2 linked regions of the Saccharomyces cerevisiae S288C genome follow. The gene in region 2 interacts genetically with the main gene of each other region. Each region holds a gene or a part of one and is shown on either strand. Other genes may lie near its edges.

Region 1 (3,981 bases), on a different chromosome or scaffold from region 2:
TCTTCATCGTCGTTAAATTCCACGTCACCTTCCATAACGTGACCATATTGGCAGGTTCTTCTCCCATCAATGATACGCCAAAGCCGTGAGGGGCAGTTGTCTGTACCGCAGATGGGACCTCTTATGAAAGTAGACATCCTTAAGTGATGTAGGGGTATGTCCGAGTAGTTCGTTCAACTATTTTTAAAGACACATCGTTCCAGGTTTATATTCATATACATATGTATGTATTGTATAGGTTTTTTTATTTTTTATTTTTTATTTTTTTTTTTTTTTTTTTCAATTTTTTTAAGCTTTTCTTACTTTTCCGATGCCCTTTCCACTTTAATCAATATACGTATGAAATTCAGCCGAAGTTTCCGTTTGATAATATATTAGATTCAATATAAAAAAAAGTTTATATGATTCAGTGTATATATATATATATAAATAAGAGGTGCGAAAGCCCACATAAAGAGATTGAAGAGACTGCGTAAAAAGAAATATATAGAGAGATACTCTTAAAAGTCTTCGTTGAAGGTGAAAGCACCGGCTTCTTGCTTAGTCGACTTGGACATAACACCAGCCTTTTGGTAGTCAGAAACTCTCTTTTCGAAGAAGTTGGTCTTACCGGCCAAGGAGATGTTTTCCATGAAATCGAAGGGGTTTTCGACCTTGTAGTATTTCTTGTTACCGAAAGCAACCAACAGTCTGTCGGCGACGAACTCAACGTATTGGTTCATTAAGTCAGCGTTCATACCTAGCAAAGCAACTGGTAAGGCGTCCAAGAAGTATCTTTGTTCAATTTCCACAGCCTCGGTGACAATTTTTTCAACAATGGCTGGGTCTGGTTTGTTCTTCAAATGGGCGAACAACAAGCATGCAAAGTCGGTGTGCAAACCTTCGTCTCTACAGATCAATTCGTTGGAAAAGGTTAAACCGGGCATCATACCTCTCTTTTTCAACCAGAAAATGGAGGCAAAGGAACCGGAGAAAAAGACACCTTCAATGGAGGCAAAGGCAACTAGTCTTTCACCAAACAAGGCGTCAGCGTCTTGAATCCATCTTAAAGCCCATTCGGCCTTCTCACCGATTTCTGGGATGGTGTGAATGGCATTGAACAAGAATTCACTTTCTTTAGGGTCCTTGATGTAAGTATCGATCAACAAGGAGTAAGTTTCAGAGTGAATATTTTCAATCATGATTTGGAAACCGTAGAAACTCTTTGCCTCTGGAATTTGGACTTCGGTGGAGAAGTTTTCAACCAAGTTTTCATTAACAATACCGTCAGAAGCGGCGAAAAAGGCAAGAACTCTGGAAATGAAAAATCTCTCGTTTTCGTTCATTCTGTTGTTCCAGTCATGGATATCCTTAGACAAATCAATTTCTTCAGCGGTCCAGAAAGAAGCTTCGGCACGCTTGTAGGCTTGCCAGATTTCATGGTACTTGATAGGGAAAAGAACAGTTCTCTCCTTGTCTTCATTCAACAAAGGTTCCTCCTTTTCCATTTCCTTAAGTTTGTGACGGTGAACTTGATGAGATTTCAAGTAAGCCTTGTGATTTTCAGCGTCCTTGCTCAATTTCTCCTTAAGCATGTCTGACTTTACTCTGTTTTCCTCTCTCAATGTCTCCAATTCCTTGTTAAGGTTGGACTTGGAATCTTTGATTTCCAAGTCGGACAATGCATCGGCAGCAGCTTTGGAAGGGGTCTCTTTAGGCATGGTAATTGGACAAATAAATACGTGTATTAAGTTTGGATTCTTTGGTAGATAGCCAATCGAGGGAACAATTAAAAAAAAGAAAGAAATAAAAGACAAGAAGAAGAGCGAAAAAGGGGAAAGTGATGAGGAAAAGAACAATAGATAGATCCAGAAGATGATGGTAACGCGCAAACACTACCGCTATATATACCTACAAAACTCTCATTCTCTCATTTCCTGCTTCGTTCATTTCGAGTTTCCAAGGGTATGGTACGGTGCTATCTGCCCGTGCTTCCCCTCCTTTGCTTTGCTAAGAAAAATTTTCTTTTGTCAGCAGCAACAACACGCTACGCTCTGCGCTGTGCTACGAAGTGGTCTCTGTGGCAACGGGGACATTGTACCCATGCCCGCTCGCAGGGAGGTCTGGGTGTGGGGCGTGTGCGACCTCGTTGCCATGGCGATCGCGCGTGGGTGTGGTCTTTCCCCAAACGGTTGCCCGTTGCTCCGGATTTCGCATAGTTGTCGCGTAAACAAAAAACACGAGAGAGGGCGGACGGCGCTGAATAGTGGAAGATCGCGCGATGTCAAGTAAATAAGCTTGTATTTGTATTTGTATGTGTTTATGTGTTTGTGTGGTTGAGAATTTTATTTTCCTCCTAGTTTTTTCTTTTTTGAGTGCGGAGGGGCAGTGCTCTAAACTTTGCCTGCTTCTTGTTCGACTTCGGCTTCCTATGCAGAACGCAAAATCGCGTGCGCGAGGAACGAGGAAGACAACGCTTTAGATTGGCTTTTTCGTCGCCCATGCCCGTTGCGATAGCGATATGATGAGAAATCGATAAAAGGTTGCACCAGTACACCGCACTTTCTGGCGTGCTTGGATCTGGCTTGCGCGGCCTCGTGCCAGTAAGTAGAAAAGTAGTAATATGGCATGGCGAAAGAGAACAAAACAAGCAAAGCAAGCGTAATGCACAGCTGTGGCTAAAAAAAGAGCACAGAGGTGAAGGGAAAAAAAGATAAAGAAATTAAGGAGGTTGAGAGGGCTTGTGTGTCGATGCTTGGTGAGGCGGGACGTAACGGTTTTTTGTCTGTAGGCACTTCTACCCCACAGGGCCATGAATCTGGCCCGAAACCGTTGCGAGCGTGCCAATTGGTGGTGATATCTTTTTTCTTCCCTTTTTTTTTGTTTTCCGTTCTGTTATGTTCCTTCATCTTGAATTCACTAAAGGGAACAGAAGAAAAAGTTGGATATTAGATAAGCGGTACTTTTCTACAGGTCTAGTATTATTCCTCGGTTGGAACAAGAAATAGTGCTTCAGTAGCTCAGTAGGAAGAGCGTCAGTCTCATAATCTGAAGGTCGAGAGTTCGAACCTCCCCTGGAGCATATTTTTATACGTATATCTTTTTTCCCTCTATTTTGTTTTTTTTTTCTTTGTTTTTTCGTAGCTAGTAAAGAAGAGAAGGAGACCTAAAGTGTATATATACTTAATCTGCGATCATTGAAAAGTCGCTAGCTTATTGTCACTTACTGCATTTTCACAACATCTTCCATTTTTGTTTTCTCAGAAGGACAATGCTGGAAGGTACGGTAGATTATGACCCGCTGGAAGATATTACCAATATACTTTTTTCAAAAGAATCCCTGAACAACATAGATGAACTGATCAGTATTACCAGAAGCTACAAAAAGCAATTGCAAGAGGATATTCTCAAAGAAGAGAATGAATTGAAGGAACACCCTAAAAATTCCGCTGAAATAGAGGCTTCTCTGAGGAAAGTTTTCCAAGATTTCAAAGAAACTCAAGATGTCTCAGCCTCCACCGAGTTGACGATATCGAATCTGACAGAAGGTATCTCGTACCTGGACATTGCCAAGAAAAACCTCACCCACTCTTTGACTCTTTTCCAAAATTTAAAGATATTGACAGACAGTTACATACAATGCAATGAATTACTCTCACAGGGCTCATTCAAAAAAATGGTGTCCCCTTATAAGATAATGTGTTCGCTTGCTGAAAACACATTCATCTCTTACAAATCATTGGACGAGATAAACTATTTGTTGAGCTCCATTTCAAGACTGAAAGGAGACACTTTGTCCAAAATTAAACAAAACTACAATGCGCTCTTTTCCGGCGGCAATATCTCAGAGCATGATACAGCACTCACTATGGAATTGCGCGAAGGTGCCTGCGAGCTACTCGACTGCGATACAAGTACGAGAGCCCAGATGATAGATTGGTGTTTGGACAAACTTCTCTTCGAAATGAAAGAGATATTTAGGGTCGACGATGAAGCCGGATC
Region 2 (2,936 bases):
CATGGTCACGGTACGCAATGTGGAAGGGGCTTGTTGTTGTTGGCAGCGATTTTGAGCGTAAAAGTAGTCTTGGGAATTTTGCATAGCGGGAAATTATTGAGCAGTTGAAGAGAGGTTAGTGAGACCGTAAGATCACAAAGGAGCAGATAAGACATTTAAAAATGGGAAGGGACAGCCAGGAAAAAAAAAGATCTCTTTTTATACCCGCTGAGGCGGAATCGGGCGAAACGGGCGATGTTCCAAAACAGTAACGATATGTTATGGCTATTTCCTTTTTGGGACGGATGACTTCCCAAAATGGCGACCGCGGCGGGTAGTGGAGCCCGTTTGGGCTCAGCGCGAGGTAACAAAAAAAAATTTCAAATGTTGGCCAAAAAAAAACGTCAATTATTCCTATGTACGAGGTCTAAACATAAAAACATATCTACTATATTCTGACGTATTTATAATCTATTGTTCTTTCCTATCATTGGCCTACAAAAAAAAAGAGAAGCATGCTCTTAGTTGGAAGTATTCTTACCAATGTCAGAAAGACCGCCGCGACGTTCGACGGCAATGATGTTGGCAGAAGGAACGTGATCCTTGGGGAATAAGTAGCCGGTCTTGACACTCTTGTTGACACGGTTGCTCATTGAGCACAAAGTGTCTTGTAGGACGACATCGTCAAGGAAGAATTGCTTTGGGTTAAGGCCTTGGTCCATGGTCATATAGTTTTTTTTTATTGCTGATGTGGTTTGTAGTTATATATATACGTATATTATTTTTCTTATAAGTAAAAGAACAAGAAAGGAAAGGAATGAAAGAAATAGTTTCGAAAAGACAATAGGAAACGCCAAAAATTCATGGCCTTTTATATGCTGGGAATCAGTTGCCTTCGTATCTCGTTTCTCGTTGCTGTGGAAACGAGATACGAAGGCAACCTTTACGTATTTGCCCTAATGTTTCCTTTTCGAGACCTTTGACACATCTTCTTACCCGAAACTAAAAACCTATATTAAAGTGCTTTTCAACCCTTTGAGTAAGTCCGATTTTTATTTAAACCCTTCTTTTTTTTTTTTTTTTTTTTTTTTACAGGTTATAAGGATCTTAAAAATCTGGGAAACTTGACACTTTTCTCGAAAGTTTATTAAGTTAAAGAAACACCACAAAACTCTAACGAATATAAAATAAACAAGAAAAGAATAGAAAGGCTTGGCTCTAGTTTTTGCATGCGTTCAATGAATTGCACTACGAACAACACCAACAATACCGGCCAAAACACGAAAAACAGTCTTGGCTCCAGCTTTAATTCCAGTAATTATACTTCTTATAGATTCCAGACATGTCTCACCGACCAGATTATTTCTGAGGCGCAGACGTGGTCACTTTCATCCCTCTTCAACTTCTCGTGGGTTGTGTCCTACTTTGTTATGGGTGCCTCTCGTATGATCTTCAGGTACGGTTGGTATCTGGCAACTTTATCGCTTTTAAGGATTCCGAAGTGGATCTTCTTCAAGTTACACCATGTTCAGTTCACTCTTTCCTTTTGGCTGATCCTGTTTGCCCTAGCCGTCATAGTCTTTGTGACTTACACCATCATGAAGGAGAGAATTCTATCCCAGTACAAGAGGCTGACCCCGGAGTTCTTGCCGCTGGAAAATACAGGTAAATCTGGCTCCAGCGCCAATATCAATGCAGCTTCCACTCAGTCAGCCAACGCGCCACCCGCCATAGGTTCCTCTACCACGGGTGCAAGCTCGATTATAGACTCAAAAAAGCATTCATTGAAAGATGGCAACGAAAACGAAACCTTTCTTTCATCTTACCTTGACCAATTTCTCAGCGCCATCAAAATCTTTGGCTATCTGGAAAAACCAGTCTTCCATGACCTGACCAAGAATATGAAAACTCAAAAAATGGATGAGGGTGAGATTTTACTGTTGGACAGTACTATTGGGTTTGCCATCGTCGTTGAAGGCACCCTGCAGTTATATCATGAAGTAGATCATTCAGATAAGGACCATGGCGATGAAACTGACCACAGTGACACGGATGGTCTTGACGACCAGGATAGAGATGAAGAAGACGAAGAAGAAGATGATGACATTGATAACTACGACACCAAATCTTGTTCTTCTAACCTCATCGATGAAGAAGATGAATCCGTTGGTTACATTCATCTGAAAAATGGACTGGGAAATTTTCAACTGCTAAATACAGTCAAGCCAGGAAACCCGCTGACCTCCCTCGTGAGCATTTTAAACTTATTCACGCATTCCATGTCCTCGTATGGCAACAGTAACTTTCCCTCTGAGTTATCGTCACCTATAGACACAACGGTGTCGGTCAACAATATGTTCTGCTCATCAGAGCAGAACTTCTCCAACACAGATTCCATGACAAACTCCACCAACAGCTTTCCAACGTTCCCCTCTTCAATGCCTAAACTTGTCGCCCGTGCGGCTACAGACTGCACAATTGGTATTATCCCACCTCAATCGTTTGCCAAATTAACCGCAAAATACCCACGGTCTGCTTCCCATATCATACAGATGGTTCTCACCAAGCTATACCATGTTACGTTCCAAACTGCTCACGACTACTTAGGTTTAACAAAGGAGATCATGGATATCGAAGTTTTACTAAATAAATCCATCGTTTATGAATTGCCTTATTATTTGAAAGAGGCCGTTATTCGTAAGTTTAAAACTGTAGATAAGTCGAGCGGATCGGCTGATTTAGAACCGAAACCCAAAAATAGTAATGCTTCCTCTAAATTGAAGAAACCGCCCAAAGCGAAGCCATCTGATGGTATCATTCAATCGCTTAAGATTGCTAACGCCAACGCTAACACAAGTTCGAATTCCCTTTCACTGAAACCAGAATTCACCCACCATCCAAGTTCGAGACATGTCGTACTGGGTTCAAGAGACCAATTTAATCCTGGTGATTTACTG

What was found.
Region 1: of HUG1 (region 2) and RNR2, a mutation in one rescues a mutant of the other (synthetic rescue), as found in Saccharomyces cerevisiae (one study listed by BioGRID).

What each region holds. Positions count from the first base shown.
Region 1 is NC_001142.9:390,123-394,103, reverse strand, and holds RNR2 (ribonucleotide-diphosphate reductase subunit RNR2), read right to left. Parts: upstream 1,701-3,981; coding exon 501-1,700; downstream 1-500. Other genes in the region: RRN7 (Rrn7p), read right to left, coding at 1-137; YJL027C (uncharacterized protein), read left to right, coding at 1,855-2,271; YJL028W (uncharacterized protein), read right to left, coding at 2,458-2,793; VPS53 (Vps53p), read left to right, coding at 3,251-3,981. UniProt on the Saccharomyces cerevisiae protein: Provides the precursors necessary for DNA synthesis. Catalyzes the biosynthesis of deoxyribonucleotides from the corresponding ribonucleotides. RNR2 provides the diiron-tyrosyl radical center.
Region 2 is NC_001145.3:156,531-159,466, reverse strand, and holds HUG1 (Hug1p), read right to left. Parts: upstream 708-2,936; coding exon 501-707; downstream 1-500. Other genes in the region: ribonucleotide reductase inhibiting protein SML1, read right to left, coding at 1-84; NTE1 (lysophospholipase), read left to right, coding at 1,209-2,936. UniProt on the Saccharomyces cerevisiae protein: Involved in the MEC1-mediated checkpoint response to DNA damage and replication arrest.